Macaca mulatta: one gene and its partners. The protein of the gene in region 1 interacts with the protein of each later gene in a pairwise test. Links are inferred from orthologs where the notes say so. Each region holds a gene or a part of one and is shown on either strand. Other genes may lie near its edges.

Region 1 (3,753 bases):
TGAGCCACTGCGCCCAGCCCCAAGTACCAAATTGTTTTAAGTACTCTACATGAGTTAACTCATTTAATCCCCATAACAACCTCATTTTACAGATGATGAAACTGAGGCACAAACTGCTTAATGAACTTGTCCATGGTAAAGAAGGACCCTGGATAAGAGAGGGAAGGGACCTGGATTCTAGTGCTGACACTATTGCTGACGACCTGAGCAACTCTTCTCCCCTACATCTGTTGTGATTTCCCCTTTGTAAAATGGGAAGCCTGGACCAGACAATCACTGAGTCTTCCTTTAGCTCCCTGATTACTTTTACTGCTTAAGCCAACTTCTATCTGAGACCAGTATTCCCCAAGAGTTTGAGATGGGAGGCTGAGTTACGTGAGCAGGAACATATTTATTTCGGGAAAACCTACTGGGAGAAAATGCAAGGCTGCATGATGGTCAGGAGGCTGGTGGGACAACTGACTGCTGGACCACAATCAGAAGTGACTGGAAGATTAATTTTAGCTCAACAGGAATAATATTTTATTTTAGCAAGCTACCTGGAATCCTGTATCAAAAGTAACAAGAGCAGGCCAGGCGTGGTGGCTCACACCTATAATCCCAGCACTTTGGGTGGCCGAGGCGGGTGGATTATCTGAGGTCAGGAGTTCAAGACTAGCCTGGCCAACATGGTGAAACCCTGTCTCTACTAAAAATACAAAAAAATTTACCTGGGCATGGTGGCTCACACCTGTAATCTCAGCTACTCAGGGGGCAGACGCAGGAAAATTGCTTGAGCCCAGGATACAGAGGTTGTAGTGAGCCGAGATGGCGCCACTGCACTCCAGCCTGGGTAACAGAATAAGACACCGTCTCAAAAAAAAAAAAAAAAAAAGTAACAAGAGCATATGTATTAGGGAAAATGGAAGAAAACACCTGCATTTGGGTTAAGAAATTCAAAGGTGCCTTCTAGGTTAAGGTTAATAGTAGTTCATGTGAAAATACCCCTAAGGATTTTAGGTGATGGTAAAAAGTCTGAATGAAAGGAGAGTAAGGGCCAGGCGCGATGGCTCACGCCTGTAATCCCAACACTTTGGGAGCCCAAGGCGGGCAGATCATCTGAGGTCAGGAGTTCAAGACCAGCCTGGCCAACATGGTGAAACCCTGTCTCTACTAAAAATACAAAACATTAGTTGGGCCTGGTGGTGGGTGCCTATAATCCCAGCTACTTGGGAGGCTGAGGCAGGAGAATAGCTTGAACCCAGGAGGTGGAGATTGCAGTGAGCTGAGATCATGCCATTGTATTCTCCAGCCTGGGCAACAAGAGTGAAACGTTGTCTCAAAAAAAAAAAAAAAAAAAAAAAAAGAGAAGAGTAAGAAGGCTGCGACGAGAGCTCACATGTCCTTGGTTTGTATGAAGAAAAGGACGGTACCTTCTACCGGGGCCCTCTCGTCATTGACAAACAGGAAGAGGACAGTACCCTCAACCAGGCCCCCCAACTGTGACAGGCAGAAGTTTCTTCCCAGGACAGTGAAGAAACCGGGCCATTTTGCAAAGCAGATACTAGGGGGACAGAGTGTTAGAGTGGGGGGATTGAGAGGTTGTGTCAAATATCTAAATTTGTCCTAGGCAATTCTGGAGGTCAGAATCTGGGCAGAAATGTTTAGCGCAGTATGAAGAACTGTCTAACAATTAGTACCTTTAAAAATGGAAAAAGGCCGGGCACGGTGGCTCAAGCCTGTAATCCCAGCACTTTGGGAGGCCGAGACGGGCGGATCACGAGGTCAGGAGATCGAGACCATCCTGGCTAACACGGTGAAACCCCGTCTCTACTAAAAAAATACAAAAAAAAACTAGCCGGGCGAGGTGGCGGGCGCCTGTAGTCCCAGCTACTCGGGAGGCTGAGGCAGGAGAATGGCGTGAACCCGGGAGGCGGAGCTTGCAGTGAGCTGAGATCCGGCCACTGCACTCCAGCCTGGACGACAGAGCGAGACTCCGTCTCAAAAAAAAAAAAAAAAAAAAAAAGGAAAAAGACTGGTTTATATGAAGAATTGAGTAATCAGCACACTGGGAAGTTGAGGCAGGAGGATTGCTTGAGGCCAGGAGTTTGCGACCAGCCTGGGCAACATAGTGAGACCTCATCTCTATTTTTTATTTTATTTTAATTAATTATTTATTTGTTTGAGCCAGAGTCTCGCTCTGTCACCCAGGCTGGAGGGCAATGGCGCGATTTCGGCTCACTGCAACCTCCGCCTCCCAGGTTCAAGCGATTCTCCTTCCTCGGCCTCCTGAATAGCTGGGATTACAGATGCCCACCACCACACCTGGCTAATTTTTTGTATTTTTAGTAGAGCTGGGGTTTCACCTTGTTGGCCAAGCTGGTCTCGAGCTCCTGACCTTGTGATCCACCCGCCTCAGCCTCCCAAAGTGCTGGGATTACAGGCGTGAGCCACTGCACCCGGCTATTTGTTTTTTTGAGATGAAGTCTAGCTCTGTTGTCCAGGCTGGAGTGCAGTGGCACGATCTTGTCTCACTGCAATCTCCGCCTCCTGGGCTCAAGCAATTCTCCTGCCTCAGCCTCCTGAGTAGCTGGGACTACAGGTGTGCACCAGCATGCTCAGCTAATTTTTGTATTTTTAGTAGAGACAGAGTTTCACCATGTTGGCCAGGCTGGTCTCAAACTCCTGACCTCAAGTGATCTGTCACCTCGGCCTCTTAAAGTGCTGAGATTACAGGCATGAGCCACTGCACCCAGCCTTCTCTCTATTTTGAAAAAATATATCTATTTTTAAGTTGTACATTTGGTCATAGGGGGTGTTCAGCTAGAGACCAAAACAGCTACCTGACCAGATTGCCACGGGAGTGGCTGCAATGGGTGCATAGATCTAGATGACACCTGAAAGCCTTTTTGTTTGACATGGTTATATGTATCTCTGAAATCAGCTTCCATCTGCTGACCAGCTGAAGTAAGGTACAAGAGAGAAGGTGGGCTTATCTCCCCAGGGCACACATTTGGGCCAGGGTAGAATCCGGAAAGCTCCTGACCCTGATTCTCCAGACATTCAGATGCCTAGGTTCTCTAGCACCATTCCCTCTCCCATGCCCACCCCCTGCCCCAACTTACCGGGAGATGGCAAAGAGACCAGTGAGCAGAGGGAGCAGTTTGAGGGTGTCCTGGGGCAGGTAAGTGGAAAGCACGGCCAGGTTGAAGAAGTAGAGGATAAAGAGCTGGATTGACTGGGCCACATATCGCCGGTGGATCTCCACTTCCCGCCGTGGCTCCCCAAAGGGCCGAAGGGCAGAAAAGCATAACAGGCTCAGCCCGTACACCAGGATCCCTGGGTGGAGTTGGGAAACACAGGGTAGGGTCAGAACAGGCAGGGTAAGGGCGCAAGAGGCAGTAAGCTGGGGGCAGGTTCACTGTGGGCAGTGCATAGCCTCTACACAGTGGGGTGGAAGTGGTCCTGGGAGGATATGGGCATGCAGACTGGCAGGGGGTGGGAGACCCTGAGGGGCCCAGGCCAAGTGAAGGGAAACCCTCCTGCTCCCCATGGCAGGCAGGCCCTGCCCTCCTCAAGTCCACTTCCCAATCTCCCCTTTCTTCTCACAGGCTCACCCAGCACAATGGGGAAGGTGGCAAAGACCCCGCAGCGGAGTGTGTAGATCAGGCGGGAACTCATGGTGGGCAGCCGTGGGACATCAAACGGCAGGAAGGCATATGCCCCATATAGTAGGCAGGGGAAGAGGATGAGTGCAGCTCCCACGGAGGCCAC
Region 2 (4,282 bases), on another chromosome or scaffold:
CTGTAGAGCTACCAAGGGGTAAATGACATTGACTCTTGATTTTCTCTTCAGCAGCTACATTAGACTTGCCACCCTTGAAGTAATACTTGCTTCTACAAATGGTTCCAATTTGTTTTTCTCTAGTTGAGTTGGTGAATATTTGACCAGGTTAAACTAACATTCAGTCAATGGCATCAGCAGACACTAAAAAACGACCCAACCTGGTGTAAGTTCTCTACAAGGCTGCCACTGGGAACCGTATCATTAGAAAGCAATGTGGGCTCTGAAGACTTGCTTTTTAAGGCTTTTAGTTTTCCAAATTTTTTTTCATAAGGAAAAATGAATATGAAGAAACTTGATAAACAAAGGTCTCCTAATGACAGAGATAAGATAGACTTCCAAAAGGCATCATCAGGTCTGGCCTGGTTCGTGACAGATAACAAATTCCTTTACGCTTATTTGCTTCTACCTATAAATATGCCCTAAAATTATAAGATAAGGGCTTACTCCTAAACTGCAGTACCATATGGGACTGGTCCTCTTGGTCTCTAGAAATACAATTGCCTCTTTTAGAGCACAGGAGAACATCTGGGGTTTTGTTTTAGCCACTCAAGAAAGACCTGATGAACAGCCTTTCTTCTTGGGAGGCTCCACGTTACTTAATGCAGGACACTTGGCTCAGTTGGCTTAATTCCATATACACAAAAGAATCTGCAGAACTTGAAAACAACTGAATATGGCTTGGGAAACAGAACCCAGGAACAAACTGGGTGGGGTTGGTTGCCCTATAAAGAGAAGACTAAGGAAAGGTATAAATGTTTCCTGGAGTTTAAGGTGCAAAAGGAAGCAAACAGAGCAGGGTAGGACTAATATTGGCAAGGAGAAAGTCTTCAGATTCTAAAAGGATAGACTCAAGGCTGTTGTGGCAATATTAAAGCCCTGGATAGATAAGGAGACAAACAATACGTAACCATTTTAAGTGTATTCAAATCTCTTTCTCAGACCTAATGAATTTCATGGGCGAGGGAAGGGGCAGTGTGGGGGGATTGGGGGGCGTGATTACTTAGCACTTGGAAAGGGAAGTGGTAGCTTAAAGAAGCAGCATAGGTTTTAGGTGATCCCTCAGCTTAACACAAGGGGAAAATACTTTATAGGCTGGTTTACAAACTATCATTTGCTATTTAGCCAAGGCTGCCAAGAAAACTGTTGGAATTCTTAGTAATTAGTTCAGCAGCTTGGCTTGAATTCAAAATACCAGCTCTGAAGTGATCTCCATATCAGCTGCAGCACCAAAAAGCACCTCACTTTAGGGACACACTGAGTATCCTTTTTTTTTTTTTTTTGAGATGGAGTCTTGCTCAGTCGCCCAGGCTGGAGTGCAGTGGCAAGATCTCGGCTCACTGCAAGCTCCGCCTCCCAGGTTCACGCCATTCTCCTGCTTCAGCCTCCCGAGTAGCTGGGACTACAGGCGCCCGCCACCACGCCTGACTAATTTTTTTGTATTTTTAGTAGAGACGGGGTTTCACCGTGTTAGCCAGGATGATCTCCATCTCCTGACCCACACTGAATATCTTAGAGATTGTTTTCCTCTGTTCTCCCAGACCTATGACATGGAGCACACTTTCTACAGCAATGGAGAGAAGAAGAAGATTTACATGGAAATTGATCCTGTGACCAGAACTGAAATATTCAGAAGCGGAAATGGCACTGATGAAACATTGGAAGTACACGACTTTAAAAACGTAAGTTGGATGTTTTCCCCCTAAGGCTTTCCACTTAAAATATTAGAGCAGTTGAGTCAAGTTAAAAATAGCCTCCATCTAAAATTTGAATTCAAATGGAAACCTAGAGGAGGCTAGCATTCCATTATGAATTCAAATTTTGCTAGTCTGGTACCCCAACAGATCATGGAACTTACTAATAGTGGGTCTTTTGGGAAGCTTTATTGTTGTTTTGTCTGTTTCATAGGGATACACTGGCATCTACTTCGTGGGTCTTCAAAAATGTTTTATCAAAACTCAGATTAAAGTGATTCCTGAATTTTCTGAACCAGAAGAGGAAATAGACGAGGTATGTAAGAAGAATAATTGTGGTGGCAAAAGACATCATTTATTGGATGCTACCTATGTGCCAAACATTGTACTAAATGCTTCACTTTTCTTTGATTCTCCGACAACCTTATAGATAGGTGCTATTATTATCATCATTTTCAGATCAGGAAACTCGAACTCAGAGCCAAAAAGTGACTTGCTCAAGGTCACACAGCTAGTGAGTAGCAGACTGGGGTCTTGAACTTAGGCCTTTCAAAAAACTGAATTGCATAATTTTAGGTGCAATGCTATACTTTTATACCAGGGCACCCATTAACATTATGTTGATTTTCTCTGAAGCCAAAGATTTCTAGTAAGAGGGATGAGCCAGAGAAACAAAATCTTGCCTCAGATAAAGCATTTTTAAAAAAGAAAGTTCCAAAGCCACCTGGGGTTCTTGCCACTTTTGTCACACTTCAGTATTCACCTATTTTAAAGACTGTGGTTCATTCACCTTACCATTTTATGCTGGGCTGCTAATGGAATAATTCACTTTTATTTTTATTTTTTGAGACGGAGTCTTGCTGTGTCACCCATGCTGGAGTGCAGTGGCCGGATCTCAGCTCACTGCACGCTCCGCCTCCCGGGTTTACGCCATTCTCCTGCCTCAGCCTCCCTATAGCTGGGACTACAGGCGCCCGCCACCTCGCCCGGCTAGTTTTTTATATTTTTTTTTTTTTGGTAGAGACAGGGTTTCACCGTGTGAGCCAGGATGGTCTCGATCTCCTGACCTCGTGATCCGCCCGTCTCGGCCTCCCAAAGTGCTGGGATTACAGGCTTGAGCCACGGCACCCGGCCAATAATTCACATTTAACCTCACTAGGAAAGGCAAAAGCAAAGAAGGTGAACACTGAAATGTGATACAAACTCTCTAAAAACACCCTGCTAGGCCAAAGTAAGGCAACCTAGGGTGCTGGTGCAATCACTGAATGGCCCCTGAAAACCTAATGGGAGATGGATGTTATTGCCTATAATACAACTATCTGTAAGGTCCCTGAGGCTCTTTATTGTTTCCTGATATTTTGTCTATAATTACAGTATGGTTTTATTAGTGGGAGAAGGGGGACCTCAGTTAAGGTCATATTGTGACAACATATCCCCACTATAGCAAGAAAAAAACAAGCATTGGTTTAGTTTACTGCTTAGCTGGCAAATCTAAAGTGGAATTATGGCAATGTCAGAGTGATCCTTCTTTATTTATTTATTTATTTATTTATTTATTTTTTGAGACGGAATCTCACACTGTCACCCAGGCTGGAGTGCAGTGGGGCAATCTCAGCTCACAGCAAGCTCCGCCTCCTGGGTTCATGCCATGCTCCTGCCTCAGCCTCCTGAGTAGCTGGGACTACAAGCACCCGTCATTTTGTTTCATTTCTTTTTTTGTATTTTAGTAGAGACGGAGTTTCACCATAGCCAGGATGGTCTCAATCTCCTGACCTCGTGATCCGCCCGCCTAGGCCTCCCAAAGGCTGGGATTACAGGCGTGAGCCACCGTGCCCGGCCATGGCAGAGTGATCTTTCTACAAACTATAAAAACCTCTTTCTTTCTTCTCTCTCTCCCTGTTCTTTTTCACTTTTCTCCCACCCAGCTCCCTCCATCTTGATTCTCACTAACCCATTTCTTTTCCTTTATTTTTTCTTTATTTGGGGGTAGTGGGTGGGGAGGACTATTTTTCCTTCCCTTACCCAAGTCTTAGAGCTGTCATTGGCTCCCATTTTACTCTTTCATGCTACTGGTCTCCTCAGGGCCAGAGAAGTTACAGACTCTTGTTACTAGAATTTCCAAGAAAACAAAGAACGTTCTCCCAAAGATGATGCTCTGCTCCCAAGGTCTATGGTAGTGACAGAGTTTGGAGACTTTTTTTTTTTTTAAAGTAAGCATGAGTTAGATGCATCTGAGGAATAGATCAACGTTCAGGATATTAGGAATGACTACAGTAGGCAAAGGTAAGATAAAAGGAAAATCAATAGGATTAAAAAGCTACTATACACAATAACATATGCTAATTACGTTCAGAAAATAATGTAAGCATTTGAGTAGGCCAGACAGCAATGAGAACCTGAAGTGATATAATAGGATTTATTTTTCTGAAAGATTAAGGCAAAGGGGGCTGGGCACGGTGGCTCACACCTATAATCCCAGCACTTTGGGAGGCTGAAGAGGGGTATTACTTGAGGTCAGGAGTTCGAGACCACTCTGGTCAACATGGTGA
Region 3 (4,297 bases), on another chromosome or scaffold:
CTGGGAATATTGTTGTTGGGGTGGGGAGGAGTTATTTCAATGGAGGAGTTATTTGCAGATTGCAGAGGGAAATGAAGGGAGCTCGCCTACACCGGGCCATCTGCGGGGTCTGCAGGTGAGGAAAAGAGAGAAAGCATTGGCTGAATCTATATGCCCATTTTTTAAAAACAAGATCCAAAGTCCGTGAACATTTTACACACAAGAATACTGAAGCTTATGGTACCTATTGGTACAAAAGCCATCAGTACCAATACGGGACCAGAGTTGGCATTCATGCCTTTAAGAGATCCCTTTCTTTTTCTCCTCTGCCCTCTCAGCAACCCCCTTACCCCCAACCAACACACACACACCCTTACCAGTGGGGGCTGCTGTATGTCTTGGCTGCCGAAAGGGGAAGGTGACATAGGCATCATAGCCAAAGAGGCACGTAGCGATTAGGCCCAGTACCTGGGGGACAGGATAGGAGTGAGGAGGGTTAGATTAGGAAGTCAGGTTACTCAGTCTCTTATCTTCTTGCATCTACCACCTCCAGCACCTGCCCCATACAGGACGGGACTCAAGCCCCAGGTTGGGAAGCCAAAGAACCCCAGGGAAAGGCCAAGATAATGCATCCTACCCCACTCTCCCTCCTCCTATACCCCTCAACACAGGGAGGCCACACTGTGGCCTTACACGTAGGGGGCACAATTCAATTCATACTTTTTTTTTTTAAGACACAGTCGCACTCTGTCACCCATCTGTCACCCAGGCTGGAGTGCAGTGACATGATCTTGACTCACTGCAAGCTTTGTCTCCTGGGTTCAAGTGATTCTCCTGCCTCAGCCTCCTGAGTAGCTGGGACTACAGGCACCTGCCACCACACCCAGCTAATTTTTGTATTTTTAGTAGAGACGGGGTTTCAACATGTTGGCCAGGCTGGTCTTGAACTCCTGACCTCAAGTGATCTGCCTGCCTCAGCCTCAGCCTCCCAAAGTGCTGGGAATACAGGCATGAGCCACTGCGCCCAGCCCCAATTCCTACTACATTTGGGACAAAGTTCTTGCAGATGGTAGTCCAGTGTGTTGACAAAGGGGCCACCTGTTTGTACTTCTCACCAAGGTCCTTGTGAATGACAAGGGACTGCCCTTCACAGCAAATGAAGACCTTGGGAGGCAAAAGCAAGTCCTGTGCCAAACTTCCCTCCATGCCCTGAGGACAAGTGTGACTTGCTGTGGGCCACACGATTTCTGCTGGAAGCTAAGGCAGAAATGGCCCCTGGCTCCTCAAACCCTTCTCTCTGTGCTTCAGAGCTGCTCCCATGGCCTTTACCCCTGCGACGATTTTGGAGTGGTTTCCTCTCTCAACAAGGACAACAATGGAGGTGATCAGGTAGAGGATTGCCGCTATGAGGGTTCGGAAGAAATCCTGTGAGGTGTAGGGAGAAGAGGGAAGTCAGCATCCACAGTTCCCAGACAATCCTAACTGCCCAGACCCCTCCCTGGCCTTGCCATTGTGGACCCCTTCTCACACTCCAAGGCCAGTTGATGAATGGTATCTTGGTGTGCAGGTCACACATGTAGACAACAAAGAAAATAGCAGCAAGGATCATCTCAACCACCGACAAGGAGGAGTAGCCTGGTGTGGAGGCACTGAAGCAGATCAGGATCACCAGACATAATATCTGGAAGGGTGACATGGGAAAGGGGACCTCAATCAGCAACCAGGGCTGAGGAGATTGGTTTAAATTAGGAGTCCCGTACTCGAATGACTATGAGCGCTGGGGAAATGACACGCAATAATAGCTAAACACTTTTTATGTGCTCACTGTGTTCCAAATTCAATCATCACGACAATCTAATGTTCTGGGTACTATTATTACTCTCTCTAATTTATAGATGAGAAAACTGAGGTGCAGAGAGGTTTAATGGCTTGGCCAGGGTCACCCAGCAAGTATGAAGTAGAGTTGGGTGCCTCAGTTTCCTCCCCTTTTCCCTTCTAGGATATGGGCAGCCTGAGGGGAGTGGCGCTGCCAGGTGTTTTGTGAGCCCCGCTGACGCCGGCTTTGTGGCCTTGACCCGGGCTGAACACGCGGTTCCCCCAGCAACCCCTTTGGGAAGCGGTGAGAGTGACACCAGAGAGGCAGGACTCCCTTAAAGGCGCCGCACCCCTTTTACAAGTGACTCAAAGGCGGCGCCCACTTTGAGAAGGGTGGAAACCCCGAAAACCTAAGGACATCCCGCCCGGCCTCAGAAGGGCAAGGAAGAACTGGCGAAGGGCGGGGCCCTCTACACCGCGGGACTAGCGCGAGGGGGGGCCCCACCCCAACAGGCCCTGCCCCTGGGCGCGCTGCCAGCCCGCCCTCCTGTGTCCAGGCCGCGCCACGCCCTGCCGCAGGAGGCCCCGACTTCCCAGCACCCTGGGACCCCTTCGATGAGTCCACTGATGAGTTAACGCAGCTCCCCCCATGTAGCCCTCCGTATGCGTTATAGGCTCCTTGCCTCACCCCGGGGGCTACCAGATCTCAACAACCTTCGCCAAACCCCACCGACTCGCCCTGCGCCCCGGGTTTCGGGCCTTCACCGTGAACCCACCCACCTGCACCCCACTGCCGAGCGCCCCGGCCAAGTGCCTGCCTCACCCGGACCATCCAGTTCCGCGTGGTCCAGCCACCCCATCCCGCTTTTGCCCACGCGCCTGCCCCAGGTCGCTCACAATCTCAGCAAACAGGAGGATTCCCTTTCGGGTGCGCGAGAAGTTGGTGCAGGCGGCCCAGCAGCCAGGGGCAGAGAGGCGCTCAGAATCCGCCATGGCATGGGCTGGAGTCCGTGGTGCCTCGGAGGATCTGCTCGCTTGCTCGTGGTTTCGAGGACGCTGCACACCCAGCTGTCTTGCCCGCCGTCTGGCCGGGAAGGGGGCCCCGGGGCGAAGGAGGGAGTGAATCACCGCGCAGAGATGACGCGGGCGGGGCCGGAGCCGGGCCAGGTGGCTGCCGCCCCGGAAGCCCCCTCGCCCCGCCCGCCAAGGATACTCCCAGCCCGGCGCACAGCCCCCGAGGCGCCCCATCGCCAGGGTACTTGGCAGCTCCAGGTACCAGGAGTAGTAATAGAGGGACCCCTCGCCTTTTTGGAATGCAAATGGACCCGAGACAGCTTCAGCTTAGAACCGCGGGAATCTGGCTTTGGGAGGGAGTGACTCAGTTTCCTTAACTGAATAAAACGGCCTAGGCAGAGTTAAATCCGAAAGACCTGTGGCCCAGTGTGTTGCCAGAATGCAGAATATTTTTGATTTCAGAAAGTTTTCCCGTGCATATACTCTCAGCGGGGTTTGGAGCTGTCGCGTTTACAAAAAAAAAAAAAAAAAAAAAAAAAAAAAAAAAAAAGCCAGGCGCGTGGCTCACGCCTGTAATCCCAACACTTTGGGAGGCTGAGGCGGGTGGATCACCTGAGGTCGGGAGTTCGAAACCAGCCTGACCAACATGGAGAAACCTCGTTTCTACTAAAAATACAAAAATTAGCCGGACATGGTGATGCATGCTTGTAATCCCAGCTACTTGGAAGGCTGAGGCAGGAGAATCGCTTGAATCTGGGAGGCAGAGGTTGCGGTGAGCCAAGATCACGCCATTGCACTCCAGCCTGGGCAACAAGAGTGAAACTCCGTCTCAAAAAAAAAAAAAAAAAAAAAGCAAAAACAAAGAAACAAAATGGTATGTCTTCAAGAAAAGGTATGAATGTTCACAATAACTGGGTAAGGATTGAAAAGTGTTCCTCCGCTGGGCACAGTGGCTCATGACAGTAATCCCAACACTCTGGGAGGCTCAGGCGGGAGGATCGCTTGAGCCCAGGAGTTAGAGATCAACCTTGGCAACATAGTGAGACCCTGTCTCTACAAATAATTTTAAAAATTAGCCCAGGCAGCCGGGCACGGTGGCTCACGCCTGTAATCCCAGCACTTTGGAAGGCCGAGGCAGGCAGATCACGAGGTCAGGAGTTCGAGACCAGCCTGACCAACATCGTGAAACCCCGTCTCTACTAAAAACACACAAAAAATGAGCCGGGTGTGGTGGTGCGCGCCTATAATCCCAGCTAGTCAGGAGGCTGAGGCAGGAGAATTGCTTGAACCCGGGAGGTGGAGGTTATAGTGAGCAGAGATTGCGCCACTGCACTCCAGCCTGGGTGACAGAGCAAGACTCCATCTCAAAAAAAAAAAAAGGAAGAAAAAAAGAAAAAAAAAATAGCCCAGGCATTGTGGCGCGTGCTTGTAATCCCAACTACTCGGGAGGCTGAGGTGGGAGGGTTGCTTGAGCCCGGGAGTTCAAGGC
Region 4 (4,213 bases), on another chromosome or scaffold:
TGTCCTTTAACATGCCACCCCAGTTCCTGCCCCCTGCCCCAGCCCCCTCCCACCAGGGCCCTGCCCTTTGGTCATGAGCTGGCAGGTTCCCCTGTCCCCCCCTCCACCTGGAGGGCCTTCGGCCCCAAGGTTGCATAACAACATGGCATCTGAACTGAGAGCCCCTGAGAAGCTGAGAAGCGCAGGAAGGAAGAAAGGGAAGGAAGTGTTTGCTCCCACCACCCTCCTCACCCCCGAGCTGCCCCTTTAAATATTTGCCTAAGACTCCAGCAGCTCGAGAGTGTCCTAGGACAGTGAAAGGAGGGGAGGGGTGCCGGGAGGAGGGGGAGCCCAGAGAAGCGTCCTCTCAGCTCGGCCTCAGCTGTGTGCAGGTGCCAGATGTAGGAGACAGCTCGCCTGCAGTGCCCACCCCTGCCCTCCCCCAGGGCCCCCACTCCTGCCCCCATCATCCTGGCAACATTGCGATTGATCAGCTGACTCACACGTACTGGGCCTGAGCCAGGTGGGCAGCCAGCCAGCGGGAGAGCCAAGCACTGCAGGCATCTCGGGGTCCCTGTGGGCATCTCAGGGGGCCGTGTTGTCCTCACGTGGGACTTGTTCTTAGCAGGCACTGTGGGTGGGGCTTGCCGCCATCACTGGGTGCTAGGAGAGGGGTCTCTTTCTTTGAAAAAGCCTCTGCTCTTTCTGGTCCTTGGTCTCCCTTGCCTGTTGCCCTTAGGCTGTAGCTGTCATAAGCTCTGTGGCTGCTGTTGCTGCTGCTTCTCCTTAAAACTCATTTTTGCTTGAGGGCTGAGGGAGGGTGCCCGCCTCCTGGAGCACTCACACTAACCAGGTGAAGGTCCTGGGTTCCTTGGAGAAGGAAACACAGAAGGATCTTTAGCTGGGTGTGCCAACCTTCCCCCTCCCCCATACCAGCCCTATCTGCAGCCTTCTCACATTTTTGCCTTTTCTCCTTATGGGAGAAATGCTTAAGCCATTTCTCCCTCTGTGAAAGCCAACCTCCAATCCCTCTCCACTTCTCCGGTTTTATTTATTTATTTATTTATTTATTTAGAGACAATGTCTCACTCTGTTACCCAGGCTGGAGTGCAGTGGTGCAATGACAGCTTCATAGCTCACTGCAGCCTTCATCTCCTGGCCTCAAGTGATCCTCCTACCTTGGCCTTCCAAAGTGCTGAGATGACAAGTGTGAACCCTGCATCTGACCTTCTATCTCTCTGAATGCCACCCACCCAAACAGGCCAAGTGCCATTGGCACCTGCTCTGTGACCTCACTCCAGTTCATGGTGCCCTTTGAAATCCTCAGCCTCTCTGTGGCACCTTCACCTGCCATTCAGCACATATGAATGTTCTTGTCAGCTACATGGGTGATTTTTGTTGCTCTGTCTTCTAGCCCAACTGCAGGCCCTGGGAAGGAAAGGAGCACGCTTCCCATAGGCTTCTTTGAACCTGCCACTGGGCAGGAGGCATGCAAACAGCCAACACTTAATGATAGTCAATGATGAGACCAATACCAACAGTGGCCAATAGTCCATGCCTTCTGTATGTGGAGGTCTCAGTGCTTCCACTGGCCAGCTCTGGGACCCAGCGTGAGTCATTCTGCTTTGCTAGGCATTAGTATGTTCATCTGTGAGATGGGTCAGGTACTAGCTGTCCACCTCACTATGCTATTATAAGGACCTAATGGCATCATGGGTGTGACATCCAGTCGTCATCATTAGCATCATCTACTTCATCCTCTAGGGGACCTCCCACTAGCTAAGAATACAGCCCAGACTCGCCCTCATTGTCTGTTTCTGGGTTGACCCCCTCTGAGAGCCCTGGGCAATGGACAGCCCCACAGTGGCCACCCCTTCTGTGTGGGCCTCCCCGTTTCCTCCTCCAGCCTCTCAGCTGCAGGGGTGGGGACAAGATTCACTTTGCTCTTTGTGTACTGGGCAGAGCCGTGCCAGGGACGGGTGGGAACAGTTGCCCAGCTGCCCCAGCCACCTCCCTACCCCCACTGCTTCCCTGCCCCCAAGTTGGCATGGGGAGGGCAGCTAAATGTGTGGCAGCAAGTAGACATCAAAGTGCAGGGGCATCCCTGGCTGGGAGAACACGACTTAAGCTCAGACCAGAGAATCCCCTGCTGGCAGAGTCTAGGGACAGCTGGGGAAGCGTCTTAAAGCCATTGGTCTCAGTTCCCTGGACTGGTGTGGAAAGAGCACAAGACTAGAAGCCCAGGCAGCTTACAGCCAGGCTCCCCTTGCCCCATGCCTATGAGCTCTTAGGACAGTCATCCTCCGCCACGGGGAAGCTAACGTGGTATAGAGCAGCAGTCTTCAAGCTTTTTGGTTTCAGTACCCCTTAACACTCTCAAAAAGTATTGAAGACCCCAAAGAGCTTTTGTTTATGTGGGATATGTCTGTTGACATTTATTGAGAAATTATCTTTTTATTTACATATGAATTTAAAATATCAGTAATAAACCCATTATATGTTATGATATAAATCACATTTTTAATGGAAAAACTATTTTACAAAGCAAAAATAAAATTAGAAAGTGTCACTCCTTTACAGTTTTAGAAATCTTTTAAATTTGGAACTTCATAGAAGTGAAAAGGGCAAATCATGTCTTGACAATACTAGGGAAATTGTTTTTACCTCAGAGACAGAGAAGGCCCAGGGCTACACTTGGAAGAACCCTGCATGGAAGGACAACCGTGAACGTTGAAGTTGGGCACAGTGGGCAGAAATCCCTGCTGATACATTTTTCTTCTGGTGCGACAGGCCTCACTTTTCTTGTCTGTAAAAGGGAATTACTATCACCTGCCTCAAACTATTGAGAGGATTAAGTAGGGAAAGTACAGAACACTTGAGATTGCAAACTTAGCCAGCCTCTTTTTGGGGGACCTCAGTTTCCTCATTTGTTAGACAAAGGGCTGGACTGAAAAATATCTAAAGCGCTTCCCAGCTTCAACAGGCTGTGGCTGAGCAGTGAGAAATGTTCCAGAATTCCACACAGTCCCACTCCAGCTCCAGAGGCTGTGTTTCCCTTTTCAGCTCATGCTGACACAAAGGTACATTCTGTTCAGTGGCGCGTGGAAAAACATGTGAATTCAGTTAGAAGCGCACTTCAGACTCCTCCAGGACGCCCTTGTGCTTCTAATCTTGCATGCTAACTTAGATATGCGTCTGCCACTCACGACATGCCCATGATGCTGCCTAGGGGATGTGTCCCCCCCATGCAAAGAAATCCAGGTACACAGAAGCACAGAGATCCCTAACTCCGAAGCGCCTCCACAAGGCAGTGTGTGCATGTGCCCGTGCAGAGACAGGTGAGCACCGGCGCGCACGGTCGTGCCCAGCACACGAAGGCACAAGTACAAGCTCACACGCATGCACTCACGCGCAGCCACACACGCGGATGGCCCCAGAGACAGCCCGGGAGAGCACACAGCGGCCACTCCTCCCCTTCGGTGACTCCCAGACTCGGGCCTCCCACTGCCGCCCCGCGCGCGCCCCCGCCGCCCGCGCCGCAGTCCGCATCCACCCCGCGCGGTCAGCCCCGGCTGCGGCTCCAGCTCCGCGCTCCGCGCTTCTCTCCCGAGCCGGATCGCGGGAACGAGCAGGGGAGGGGACCGCAGCCGGCGCCCGAGGGCAAGAAGAGTCCGCAGGCGGGCCCCTGGCTGCGGCAGCAGCTGCCGGTGGCCGGGAGGTGCCAGCCCGCGCGGGGTGGCCCAGCCGCGGGAGCGGTGGGGCGGGTCCGCGGCTGCCGGCCCCAGGGAGAGCTCGCGGGCAGCATGGCGGGGCTGCGGGCCAGGCGGGGCCCGGCGCCGGGGCTGCTGGCGCTCTCCGCGCTTGGCTTCTGCCTCATGCTGCAGGTCAGCGCTAAGAGGCTCCCCAAGACGCCCCCCTGCCCGCCCAGCTGCTCCTGCACCAGGGACACCGCCTTCTGCGTGGATTCAAAGGCAGTGCCCAGGAACCTGCCCTCGGAGGTCATCTCCCTGTGAGTGTCCAGCCCCGGCCTTGGGGGTGGGGAGGGAGAGGAGGCCGAGGACAGCTCTGGGAGAGGACAGGAGAACCCTCGCTCCCCCTCTTCAGAGTGTGGGGACCAGGGGGACTGCAGGGGTCCTCAGGGCTGGAGAGCCCAGGCCCCAGTCGGGCAGGGAGTTCTGCAGTTTTGCAGCCTCAGCGGCCATGGGTGGGGAAAGCAGGAGTTCACCACCAAGAA
Region 5 (3,753 bases), on another chromosome or scaffold:
CTATGCCATTTAATCCCACATTTACTTATTTGTGCCCTTGTGTTGTCTTTTCCACAGTCAGCTGCTGAAAGTTTTCATGTCTTTTCACTCAATATATTTACCTTGCATGACATTGAGCATAGAATTGAAATGATTGTTGATGAATCAGTTGAACCAAGGCATAGTAATAGTAGTGAACACTTATGTAACACGATGCCCAGGCACTGTCTAAATAATTGCCATATGTTATCTCATTAAATCCGCACAGACACCATAAGGGGAGACTTATTTTCCTCCATTTTATTGATGCAGTAACTGGACCATAAAGAGGTCAAGAAACCCGGCCAAAATCACCCAGCTGCTAAGTGATAGAGCCACATTACAAACCCAGGCAGTCTCACTCCAGGATCTGTGCTCTTAACCTCGATACTATGACTTCTTTAAAACCATAAAAGTTTATTTTATTTTATTTATTTTGGAGACAGAGTCTCGCTCTGTCACCCAGACTGGAGTGCAGTGACACAATCTCGGCTCACAGCAACCTCCGCCTCCTGGGTTCTAGCAATTCTAATGCCTTGGCCTCCCAAGTAGCTGGGATTACAGGCATCTACCACCACACCTGGCTAATTTTTGTATTTTTAGTAGAGAGGGGGTTTCACTGTGTTGGCCAGGGTGGTCTTGAACTCCTGGCCTCAAGTAATCCACACACCTCGGCCTCTCAAAGTGCTGAGATTACAGATGTAAGCCACCACTCCCAGACAGTAAATATTTATTAAGCATTTATTCTATGTGAGTCATTGTGCTAAGTGATTCACATGCATTATCTTATTCATTCCTCACAGAAACAGTATGAGGTAGGTACTGTACTATCCCTATTCTGCAGACAAAACAGGCATGGAGAGGTTAAGTGAATTGTCAAATGCCATGCGGACTATGAACCCGCATCTGAGTCCAGAGCTCCAGCTCTTAACCATTATCCTGTATTGCCCATATATCCCTGTTGGTATTAATTGGCTCAGATCCTATCTGCCATTTGACCCCAGTACCGGATTTAGTACTCTCTTTTTTTTTTATTTATGTGTGCGTGCTTGTTTACCAGTGTGTTAAGGAACCACATCCAGAGATAGCATTTGAACCTACTTCATGGACCTCATCCTTAACTACTGCTTTCTTCACTAATAATATTTTTTCTAGTTTTGGGACGTTGCTCCAGTTTAGGTCAATAGGAGCTAGCCAATTTCAGTTTCCTTTAATGCTATTCCATGTGTTTGAGTAAATTATCCACCAATAATAAGGTGATTCCTGCCTGTTAATATGGCAGTTCTCTGTGGACGCATGAATGTGAAATATAGGTAAAAAGCCAAAGCACTGCTTAACGAATGCTGTTTCTAGGGATGGTAGTTTATGAACCTTTCTTTTCTATTTGTTATCAAGAGTTTTCCTTCTGAAAAGGCAGAAGGTTTTACAGCAGCAGGAGAGAGGTTCCATTAAGAAGACGAAAATCACGAAGCTTATTTCTTCTGTCTTTCACTTTCCCCAGAGTCTAAATGGTGTTTGGCTGAACAGAGCACGTCTGGAACCTTTAAGGGTCTATTCCATTCATCAGGGAGACTACATCCAACTTGGAGTGCCTCTGGAAAATAAGGAGAATGCGGAGTATGAATATGAAGTTACTGAAGAAGACTGGGAGACAATATATCCTTGTCTTTCCCCAAAGAATGACCAGATGATAGAAAAAAATAAGGAATTGAGAACTAAAAGGAAATTCAGTTTGGATCAATTAGGAGGTCCTGGAGCTGAAGGCCCCTCAAATTTGAAATCCAAAATAAATAAAGTGTCTTGTGAATCTAGTCAGTCAGTGAAATCACAGGGGAAAGGTGAAGTGGCCAGTACACCCTCTGAAAATTTGGATCCTAAGTTGACTGCCCTTGAGCCAAGTACGAAGACCACAGGGGCTCCCATTTACCCTGGCTTCCCCATAGTCACAGAGGTTCATCATGAGCAGAAAGCCTCAAACTCTTCAGCATCTCAGAGAAGCTTACAGATGTTTAAGGTGACCATGTCCAGGATTCTGAGGCTGAAAATACAGATGCAAGAAAAACATGAAGCCGTTATGAATGTGAAAAAGCAGACCCAAAAGGGGAACTCAAAGAAAATTGTGCGAATGGAGCAGGAACTGCAGGACTTACAGTCCCAGCTGTGTGCAGAGCAGGCGCAGCAGCAGGCAAGAGTGGAGCAACTAGAGAAGACTTTCCAGGAAGAGGAACAGCATCTTCAGGTACCACACAGAAGGGAAGGGCAAGAGTGGTCTTCAGGAGTGGGGCGGGCACTTCATGAGCCTCTGGCCAGAGTTCTCAGTTTCTGGGCCAGGTACCAAATTCTGAGCACCAAAGACAAGAAATGGAATGGGAACAGTAAACTTTTGAGATCAGGGAAGGGAACTGAGTAGAGGGTTAAGGCGTCAGCATGCTGATGAGATCAAGAGCCAGAGATGGGGTGCCAAGATAGGGTAAAGTGACCAGCAGAGCCAGCCAGGACATAACTCATCTCAGGATGCAAAGCTGAGGCAACTCAGAACCAACATGAATTCAGGGGGAAGTTAGGTGAAGGTCAAGATGCCGCAAAACCACAGTATAGTCCAATTAAATCATTAGTTGTCTTCAAGACTTACGTATCTTTGCTCTGTGGCCAAGGCCAAATCACTTAGTCCCAGGGCAGGTACAGGTCAGCTGGTTCCTCTGCCCTTGTACCTGACAGTTTGTTAGCTATAAAGGTTAGTTAACTCTGTAGCTAACCCAGGAGGTGAGAGGCTAAAAAGGCAGAAAATGTTTTTGTTTCTGTTTTGAGCAGCCAGCATGTGATGGGACAGATGCACCATGACTGCATTGTTGGGTTGAATGATAAACCACCTTCCACAGTGCTTATAGTAGGAAGGTAAAATAATGACTATCTTAGCTTTGTAAAGGTAAGACCAAATGTGTTTCCATCCCTGAGTCATTTGCTTCAATGACAAACTCTTGCACAAAGCTTTAGGCTAGAGCAGATCCTGTCCTTGCTCAAAATGTCATTTCCTATCTGGCAGGAACCACACATTTTACTCCCACCCAGTTGCTCAGATAATATTGAATGTCAAGAATTCCCTATTGTTGACTTAGAACTCACACGGACCAGTCACAACTAAAGTGAATAAACTTTTTTGTTTGGGTTGGTCAGGGTAAGGAACAACCAGAGGTAGTGTTGGCTTATTTCTGAGCAATTTATAAATTTCATTCTAATCTCTGCCATCCCCTTGAACTGGTAGTATTAGCAAAAGCCATGGATTAAATAGGTCTTTTGAGAGTATACACTGCTTCCTTACATGTACCTTTTTGCTTCCCTTATCCAGCCTAGACTAGTTCTTGAAATTAGTAGAGGGTGGTTTATGTCTACGTGTTTAGTATATCACACCTTCACTAGGACAGAACTCTCTGTAAAGGCTAATATGTTCACGAACAAGTTACTGTTGATTAATATTTGTGGCTGCTCTGGACATGCCTCAAGGTATAGCTGCAAAATCTTTTTTTTGAACCAAAATGTTAAAGGCAAAAGGATCAGTTTGGATAATTTCTCTGGGTATGAGTAGGTCGTGTACATATTGCTCATAGTGAAGTGTATCTAGTCCCTTGTTTATCAGCTGCATCTCCCTCTGCCCACCAAGCCCTAGGGATTTATCCTACCCCCCCCCCCACTATTTGTTTAGAGGCTCATTAAACCCTTGCTGCTTCACACCTTTTT
Region 6 (4,412 bases), on another chromosome or scaffold:
TATTTTCACATGTCCTACAATAAATATATAGCTTTTTATTTCAACAAAAAATAATTTTGAGTGGTTACAAAAAGAGACAGGTGTGGCTTGGTAACTAGGAAAACATTCCCAGCCTGGCAAACAATCTGGTGAGAGCTTGGAGGCAGAAGGCAGCACTCTGACTACATTCAAGGAGTTTGCCAGATGGCAACAGATAATGCCAATGTTCGATTGCACTATAATTATTATACACTCTCTGTCACTTCAGCAAGCTCTCTTTTCACAAGACAAGTGGGGACAGAATGTTGTATTAAGATTACCCATCGCTAAGCTTATGTTAAAATGAGGAAACGAAATGGAAAGTCTTGTTTTGGTAATGTCTCTGGGGTATGAGGAATGGAATGGACGGAAAGGTTTCACGACGGGCACAACTACGTAGAGAATTTCGTTTGTTTATGCCTTTTGGGAATGCATTATTTTGATTGACCCTAACTGGGAATTCAGAGGGGGAGATTTCCTCTATTATCTATAAAGAAAGGATCTGCTGAGCAAACACAATGGCTAGGGTCATGTTTAAAGTACTCAATTGATCTGCTTTCAAGTCTAATGAAACACTTCAGGGGCTCTAAACATGTGATATGTTGGTTACAAACTCATCTTAGTCTAATTTTAGTCAATGTTTGTGTTAGAAAGTTATATAATACTTGTCTTTCATTCAGATATATTCTATAATTCACATTTTCCACTAATTTTACCCCAGTTCTCCTTCCCCCCCAATCTATCCAAATAACTGAGTTGAACTCTGTGAGTTTACTGCTCTATTAATTTATTGACAGAGATATACAAACCATGACTTCCTCGGCTGTTTCAGATGAAACTGTAGATCCACATGTAAACTTGCAATGCACAGCTTAGCCGGAAAGTTATGTGGAGCAGGTGACTGAGGGGATAGCTTTCACTGCTTGGACTAAAGTCAGTTTTCAAAGAGCTAAAGATGCCTATTGAATTCTGGAGTGTGTGTGTGTGTGTGTGTGTGTGTGTGTGTATGGGTGTGCATGTGTGTGGGTGTAAAGCAGCAAACTCTTCACATTTCAAATAACTAAAGATATGGGTGGTAAAATGAAGTCACATTTTTACACCTCACATGCTGACTAGGGAGAGCAGTCAAATGCAGCATCGACTGGTTAAAATTAGTCTCTCATTCTTGGTTTAGGATGTTTTAAAGACATGTTAAAGATATTCGTGAAGATGTAAAAGATACATTTAAAACCCACGTCAATTGCACTAAAAGTCAACTGGAAACAGAAGGTTTTTAAATCCTGGTAGTGGCAAATTGGCAGCCAAAGGAACAGAGTCTTAGTCAACATATTCCCATGTCCCCCTGAACACAAATAGCCTCGAACCTTCGGAGGGTGTTCCTTTGAGATATTTCATCAGTGACATCACAGTGATTGCCAGCTTCCACGGACTACTTTAGGCACTGCCCAGAGTCTAGGAGTCCAGACAGCCTGGGAGGGGAGAAGGAGTTGGAGCTGAAGTTGGAGACAGCGAGGAGAAACCTGCTATAGCCAGGGTGTGTCTCTGATCCTCTTCAGGTAACTGCAGGATTTTTATGCTTAGCATACGGTGTGTGTGTGTGTACAAGCTGCAAATGAGAAAGGCACAGGAATGTTTACATTTCTTAATGAAATAGGCAATGCCCCTTGTATACAGCGTGCCTTAAGGTATAAAGTGAATACTATTGCTTTCTCTTTTCCTTTTCTTTCTCCTAAGGGTATGCATTTTTTCCCTTCCTAGTAAAAAAAAAAAAAAAAAAAATTTTTTTTGGTATTATGGAAGAAGGTCTGTTTGCTATCTTCTCTAAGTCTCCATTCAAAGAAAACCAACGTCAAGCTTCCTGTACAATTTATTCAGAGCTTTTTTGGGTTTTAGTTCATCCACTTGCAATCACTGGATCATATGGCATGACCTTGACTTCAGGGAATGTTTAAAATGAAACCCAAAGTGTCTTTATGGGTTAACAGCAGAAAAATGGAACTTGGCTGATCTGAATTTCTGCCTAACTGGTTCATTCTTCCTAAAGTGTATAAATGTGTGTGAAAGGAATGTTCACACCACACCTTACAGTTAGTATATGTGTTGATTGAATTGAATTCACTAGAAATTCTCAACTTAACTCTTTATGTTTAATTCATCTAAAATCACATAAAACAATAAATACTTAAGGTCACCGTTAAAGTGCAAGAAGTAGTAAGAAGTAAATCCCAAGAAAGAAAGAAGTGTGATGGGTAGCCTGCTAATTCAGAGATGACTGAAAAAAAAAATGTAAAGAGTGCATAAACATATACAGTTTAAACAGTAACTAAAAGGCAACACTTCTATAATTATCATCCAGCTCAAGAAACAGATCATTGCCAGCGCCCAGAAACCCATTCCTGATCAACCCCCATCCTGCCCTTCTGCCTCAGATGTTGGGATCCTCTTGTCCCTGTTATTCTTTATAGTTTGACCATCTATGTGTGCATTCCTAAACAGTATGATTAGCCTCCCTATTTTTGACTTCATATAAATGGAGTCATATTCTATGTTTCTTTTGTAAATTCTTTCACCCAACAGTTATATTTGTGAGATCTACCCATTTTGTGTGTAGCTATAGTTCATACGTTTTCTTTGCTTTATAAAATTCAAATGTATGAATATACCACAATTTATCATCCATTCTGCTGTTGATAAACATTTGAGTTGTTTCCAGCTTGGAGTTATTGTGATAATATTGCTGTGAACCTCTTTGTTTATGTAACCTGGCACACACGTCCTTAAATGTCTTAAGGTAGAAGTGAAATGCTAGATATTAGAGAATGAACATTTTCACCATTAATTCTAAGAAAGCCAAATTGTTTTCCAAAGTGGTAGAAAATTTATGCTAACTTTGTTTAGCCAGGCCAGTTAATTGCAGTGATAATTCAATTATGTCATAACTCCTAGGAAGTGACCACAATTCTAGTAACTAGTTCCAGTCTGCTAATTCTAGCTTTGCCTCTAACTTGTTATCTGTCATTACACAAACATCTTAATCTCCTCTCTCTAAAAGTCAGTTTCTCAGCTGCAATCTTGAGAAAGAGAAAAACTGCAGTAACACTTGCCTGCGTTGTTGTGAAGGTAACACGAACAGAGCTGTGGAACAGCTTTCAATAGTATTTTTCTCATTTTCTGAGTATATCCTGTTGGATAACTATCCATGATTCCTGTGACTTAACAGCTTAATTTAATAGGCAGATTTGGTGGGACCGTTATTTTGCCCTCCTTGAATTGAATTGTTTTGATCATTATAAGCCAGGCTTCATATTTTCTGCATTTCTTGAGAACTTACCCAAATAAATGGACATTTGGACTAGGGTTTTATTTCATTGATAAGTCTATAAGAAAGAATCTGTCTTCATTTCTCATTCCTTTGCCTCCAGGCACCTTGGCAAGACTCATTACCTTTCTGTTCTCCTCTGCTCTTTTGTACATTCTCATAAATCCTTTTTCCTTGATCCATTCATTTTCTTCTGTTTACTTTCTCCTCCAAGCAAATCTTTGTAAAGATTTTCTATTTTTTCCCCTTTTTATTTTCTTGGAGAGACAGGGTCTTGCTATGTTATCCAGGCTGCTCTTGAACTCCTAGGCTCAGGTGATCCTCCCACTCATTATTAGACTGCCTGAATAATGTGCAAGCCTCCCAAAGTGCTCATTAGAGGCATGAGCCACCATGCCCAGCCATTTGCGATCGTTTTCATTGGCAATTTACTATTTCCTTCATGCTGAGGTCTAAAAGATGGATAACAATTAAAAGGGAGATGAAACATAAATCTGTCATCATTTGGCTATATATTTGCTGGCTGGCACCATCCGATTTGAACTTGTATTTTTTTTTGAGACAGGGTCTCATTATGTTGCCTAGGCTGGTCTTAAACTCTTAGGCTCAAGGAATCCTCCCACCTCAGCTTCGCAAGTAGCTAGGACTACGGGTACCCACTGCCATGCCTGGCTGAACCTGTATGTTATGCCAGTTACACAATACGAAAAATGATTATTCAGTTGGCATTTATGCAATTAATAATTTGGTCCATTGATAATATAATCAATACAGTAATTACAATTAATAATTCAGTCATGTTAGATAGTTAAAAAAATACCGCTCAGACCAAAAGCTTGCTCACAACCCTTTCAGCCTCTTGAACTCTCACCTTTAGCAAACAAACAAAACACCTTTTCTCCCTAAACTTTCACTCTACAGTAGACTTTGGCCCTAAATATCTAAGATATAAATATCTAATTATTCAAAATACATAAATCTTTAATTTCATTTAGACTGCCTGAATAATGTGCAATTTACACTACCTCACTGAAGACAATAATTTGATGACTTCATTGCATATGTTCTCAAAGTA
Region 7 (3,768 bases), on another chromosome or scaffold:
AATTGTACATATTTATGAGGTATAAAGTGATATTTTGATACACATATATATTGTGGAATGATCAAATCAGAGTAATTAGCGTACCCATTATCTCAAATTTTTATCAGTTCTTTGTGGTGAGAACATTTAATAGAAAATAAATGTATTCTGTTGAAAGCTCAAGTTACTGGTTTCCAGCTGTTACAGCTGAAAGAAAGAGGGAGGAAGGCAGGGAGTAATGGGGAAAAGGAGGGAGGGAAAAGAAAATAGAAAAGGGGGCGCGGGATCATGCAGTATTCTTTCAGAGTTAAGAAACTTAATCTATAGGTTTATAAAATTTCGTTGGAACCTACAGCAAAATCACAATGGCTGAAGCGTCAATCAGGCCCATACAAACATCTGTGTTTAGTTTAAATGACTAAGGGTGAAATGCATCAGCTTATGGAAAATGGGGAGGGCTCCCAGCATTTGGCCAGCGTTTTAGGTGATGGATGTTGATGAGCAATTCCTTTAAACAACTGATTTACTGCCAATGGACAAAATGCTGGAAGCACATCCAAAAATTCATCTGCAATTAAAATTACAAGCAAGTGGTCACTGTGTTCACTTCCTTTACCAGAGAGGTGACCCCTGCTCCCGGCAACCACCTCCACCCAAGGGCCACAGAAGAACTCCTCCTTCCTCTAACCCCCTTTCCTTGGCCTCACACCTCATGATAAAATCTGCCTTGCTCTGTCTCCCAATCGCTTTTGTAAAGGAAGTTGAGTGTAGAGCTCTTTTTTCTCCCTGCCTTCCTTTTTTCTTTCTTTCCTTCCTTCCTTCCTTCTTCCATGCCTTTCTGTCTTTCCAAATTCATTACTTTGTAAGAAACATTCTCAGATCACCTCCACTCCACCAGAAATCCAACGCAGGCGAGACGGAGTCAAGCACAGGCGGTGGGCGGGTGGCCTCAGCTGGCACCATCTGGCACCTGGGATTCATCGCCACTTTCCATCAGCCCAGAGGTCAGGGGGACAGCCGGCAGAGGACACGCAGAGCTCGTGTGTCCCAGTTCCTCTGAAACTTTCAGCTGACCGCACCCTCCCCCGCCAAACTCTTTTAATCATCCATCAAGCTAGAAGAGTACGATGACCTCTGCCTGGCCTTCGGAGTTTGCAAAAGAAGAAAGCAATAAAAAGCAAGACCAGGTTCGCCCCTTTGCTTCCTCCACCGCCCAAGAGTAGCGCGCAGCGCGGCGGTGCGGCCGGAAGGGGCCGCTGTTTACTCAGTGCAGCCGCCCCGCCGCTGCAGCCGCCGCTGCCCGCACCTCCCACGGCCGGGCTGGTCCAGCCCCGCCAAGTTCCAACAGCCCCCAGTCGAGCGAGCGCCGGGAACGAGCACCGCCCGGGCTGGAGCGGACGGCTTTAGAAGAGCCTAGCTGCTGCGCGCGTCGGAGAGGCTCCTGGGAAACTCCCACGGCCCAGGGACTTTCGAAAGCAGAGCTAGGAGCCCTTGCAAGCGCTAGTCTGCGAGTGAGCGCTCAGCTCGGCACCTGTTCCTCCAGCGCCGCCGCCTTCCCACCCCTCGGACCCGCGCCGCTCGCGGCGCCCGCCCGCTCCTGCGATGAATCCGGCCCTGGGCAACCAGACCGACGTGGCGGGCCTGTTCCTGGCTAACAGCAGCGAGGCGCTGGAGCGAGCCGTGCGCTGCTGCACCCAGGCGTCCGTGGTGACCGACGACGGCTTCGCGGAGGGAGGCCCGGACGAGCGCAGCCTGTACATAATGCGCGTGGTGCAGATCGCCGTTATGTGCGTGCTCTCACTCACCGTGGTCTTCGGCATCTTCTTCCTCGGCTGCAATCTGCTGATCAAGTCCGAGGGCATGATCAACTTCCTCGTGAAGGACCGGAGACCGTCTAAGGAGGTGGAGGCAGTGGTCGTGGGGCCCTACTGACCCGCCCCTCCGCCCCCGCGGCAACCGCTCCCACGCCTGCCCACTTTGCCAGCCCGGCTGTGCCCCTCACTGTCAGAGACTGGGCGAAGCAAACCTGTCGGAGTCAATTATTTCTCTCGACTTCGGCCTTTCGGAAAGAAGCGACCGGTTTCTCCCTCGCCCTCTGAAAGTCCTCATGCCTGGCAGTCGGAGGAGAGCGCCCGGACTTCTGGACTCAGCAGAAAGTGGCAAGAAGAAGGCGATTAGGGCGCAGAACTTTGGAAGCTGCTACTTACTTGGAATGCGGGGAGAACGACGGGGCGCAGGCCCTTCTCCACCCGCAGGTGGGCCAAGCTCTGGGGGCAAGTGGAGAGGGAGGGCAGGGGAGAGACCCAGCGGCACTGATCGCCTTGTGACCGGAAAAATGACCTGTTAAAAGCCACGCAGCAGACATCATGGGGTCTCACAAATCCGTGTCCGGGTGTGCTCCCACTCTTCTCCTGCTCCCCACCAGCCCTGGAGGGGAGAGGCGATAAATACCTTTGATTGTAACGTGCTGTTTTAAGAGGTTTTGTGTTTGTTTGCTTGAATACAAATATTTGATAAGTCTTTTTCTGCCCCAGTGGCCTGTTTGCCTGCCTGAGGGGTTAAAGTTTTGTCGTTGTGGGAGAAGGGGTGGGGGGAGGGGAGCCTGCGACTTTGAGGGGGGTGAGTTGTTTCTTTTAGTGCATTTCCCACTGGGTCTTTTGGGAGGTGTCTAGCGTTCCTGCTGGCCCTGATACAAAGACCCAGAATAGAACTCGTAGCTCGTGACTGCACGGTTTACGCCACAAAAGTGCTCTTGACATCCGTGACACCGTTTTGACTTTTTGTTTTTTTTTTTTCTTATTTAACATTTCCTTAATAAATGCAACATTTAAGCGTTTTGTTCCTGGCCTCCTGGTGGTCATTCTGCGCTCCCCAGCAGGGGGGGAACGGGGCGGCGGTGCAGAGTCTGGCTCCCGGCCAGGGAAATTCACCCTAGAGAGCTGCGATTCAACTTGTGGATCCCATGGAGGGGCGAGGGTGGGGCCAGACGGAGAGGCCCTGGGATGACTGAGACAGAGCCCAGCCTCAGGCACAGTAGCCGTCCTGGAGGTAGCATCCTTTGTTTCCTCTTATCGTGAATATTTTATATTTCATTTAGTCTCAGCTCTCAGATAGGCGAGACTACAGGAGGGCCCCCGCGGGAAGATTACACTTCCGTGCCAGGCTCCGGCGGGAACACAGGATTACACCGCTAATGAAAGGAAGAGAAGGCTTGGACAGCCTTTACGGAGAGCGTCTCTACCCTAACCAACGTCAGCGAGGCGGCTTTGGGATGCTGCCCACGGGCGGGGCCGGGGCATGGGGAAGGGGAATTATAAAATGCAAGGAAAAGTAGCTGCTAAGGTACACAGTGACGTTAATGCTCCCTGGGGTAAACCATTGTTACTAAAACATGAGATGCATTACTGTCGTTGCTATATTACTTTTTCTGGCAAAAAAAAGACCAGGTTAAAATAAAGGTTCAGCCTGTTCTTTGTAATTTAGACTGCCCCAGACCAGGCAAAGGGTTGAGAGGAGTTAGCCGAGGTCCTGAATGTGGGAGATGAGTATTACAACCCCAACTGGGAAGGATATTTGGAGTAGAGCTACAGATGGTCGTTGACATATTTAAGGCTCAGAAATTCAACAGCGTTAGAAAGAAATGCCTAAAAACCGTGCCTCTGAAAATAACCCAAAGGATACAATAGCTTCGAGCATAAACTTGACAAAAGGTTTTGAGCAGTTTATTTTTATGCCTGGGACGGGATCCTAAATATTTTCAAGACTATAAAGAATCCACTAAGATGCTAT

Evidence for each region.
Region 2: the proteins of TMEM79 (region 1) and TNMD interact in binary tests that used the Homo sapiens proteins (3 or more experiments, as listed by UniProt). The two-hybrid records come from large-scale screens. The link is inferred for Macaca mulatta from reciprocal best matches to the Homo sapiens genes TMEM79 and TNMD.
Region 3: the proteins of TMEM79 (region 1) and PLP2 interact in binary tests that used the Homo sapiens proteins (3 or more experiments, as listed by UniProt). The two-hybrid records come from large-scale screens. The link is inferred for Macaca mulatta from reciprocal best matches to the Homo sapiens genes TMEM79 and PLP2.
Region 4: the proteins of TMEM79 (region 1) and SFTPC interact in binary tests that used the Homo sapiens proteins (3 or more experiments, as listed by UniProt). The two-hybrid records come from large-scale screens. The link is inferred for Macaca mulatta from reciprocal best matches to the Homo sapiens genes TMEM79 and SFTPC.
Region 5: the proteins of TMEM79 (region 1) and RNF8 interact in binary tests that used the Homo sapiens proteins (3 or more experiments, as listed by UniProt). The two-hybrid records come from large-scale screens. The link is inferred for Macaca mulatta from reciprocal best matches to the Homo sapiens genes TMEM79 and RNF8.
Region 6: the proteins of TMEM79 (region 1) and SLN interact in binary tests that used the Homo sapiens proteins (3 or more experiments, as listed by UniProt). The two-hybrid records come from large-scale screens. The link is inferred for Macaca mulatta from reciprocal best matches to the Homo sapiens genes TMEM79 and SLN.
Region 7: the proteins of TMEM79 (region 1) and RPRM interact in binary tests that used the Homo sapiens proteins (3 or more experiments, as listed by UniProt). The two-hybrid records come from large-scale screens. The link is inferred for Macaca mulatta from reciprocal best matches to the Homo sapiens genes TMEM79 and RPRM.

What each region holds. Positions count from the first base shown.
Region 1 is NC_133406.1:110,640,272-110,644,024, forward strand, and holds part of TMEM79 (transmembrane protein 79), read right to left. Parts: coding exon 3,597-3,753; intron 3,319-3,596; coding exon 3,105-3,318; intron 2,947-3,104; exon of another isoform or gene 2,792-2,946; intron 829-2,791; coding exon of another isoform or gene 747-828; exon of another isoform or gene 711-746; intron 1-710.
Region 2 is NC_133426.1:107,447,828-107,452,109, forward strand, and holds the start of TNMD (tenomodulin), read left to right. Parts: upstream 1-1,278; 5' UTR 1,279-1,325; coding exon 1,326-1,721; intron 1,722-1,947; coding exon 1,948-2,049; intron 2,050-4,282. UniProt on the Homo sapiens protein: May be an angiogenesis inhibitor.
Region 3 is NC_133426.1:49,246,547-49,250,843, reverse strand, and holds the start of PLP2 (proteolipid protein 2), read right to left. Parts: upstream 2,902-4,297; 5' UTR 2,788-2,901; coding exon 2,692-2,787; intron 1,661-2,691; coding exon 1,508-1,660; intron 1,405-1,507; coding exon 1,309-1,404; intron 448-1,308; coding exon 357-447; intron 110-356; coding exon 87-109; 3' UTR 1-86. UniProt on the Homo sapiens protein: May play a role in cell differentiation in the intestinal epithelium.
Region 4 is NC_133413.1:23,801,353-23,805,565, reverse strand, and holds the start of SFTPC (surfactant protein C), read right to left. Parts: upstream 2,929-4,213; 5' UTR 2,644-2,928; intron 1,862-2,643; exon of another isoform or gene 1,782-1,861; intron 850-1,781; 5' UTR 544-849; coding exon 483-543; intron 1-482. Other genes in the region: LGI3 (leucine-rich repeat LGI family member 3 precursor), read left to right, coding at 3,783-3,988. UniProt on the Homo sapiens protein: Pulmonary surfactant associated proteins promote alveolar stability by lowering the surface tension at the air-liquid interface in the peripheral air spaces.
Region 5 is NC_133409.1:144,868,196-144,871,948, reverse strand, and holds part of RNF8 (E3 ubiquitin-protein ligase RNF8), read left to right. Parts: intron 1-1,519; coding exon 1,520-2,257; intron 2,258-3,753. UniProt on the Homo sapiens protein: E3 ubiquitin-protein ligase that plays a key role in DNA damage signaling via 2 distinct roles: by mediating the 'Lys-63'-linked ubiquitination of histones H2A and H2AX and promoting the recruitment of DNA repair proteins at double-strand breaks (DSBs) sites, and by catalyzing 'Lys-48'-linked ubiquitination to remove target proteins from DNA damage sites.
Region 6 is NC_133419.1:108,554,042-108,558,453, reverse strand, and holds the start of SLN (sarcolipin), read left to right. Parts: upstream 1-1,434; 5' UTR 1,435-1,574; intron 1,575-4,412. UniProt on the Homo sapiens protein: Reversibly inhibits the activity of ATP2A1/SERCA1 and ATP2A2/SERCA2 in sarcoplasmic reticulum by decreasing the apparent affinity of the ATPase for Ca(2+). Also inhibits the activity of ATP2A3/SERCA3.
Region 7 is NC_133417.1:58,347,870-58,351,637, reverse strand, and holds RPRM (protein reprimo), read left to right. Parts: upstream 1-1,338; 5' UTR 1,339-1,581; coding exon 1,582-1,911; 3' UTR 1,912-3,038; downstream 3,039-3,768. UniProt on the Homo sapiens protein: May be involved in the regulation of p53-dependent G2 arrest of the cell cycle. Seems to induce cell cycle arrest by inhibiting CDK1 activity and nuclear translocation of the CDC2 cyclin B1 complex.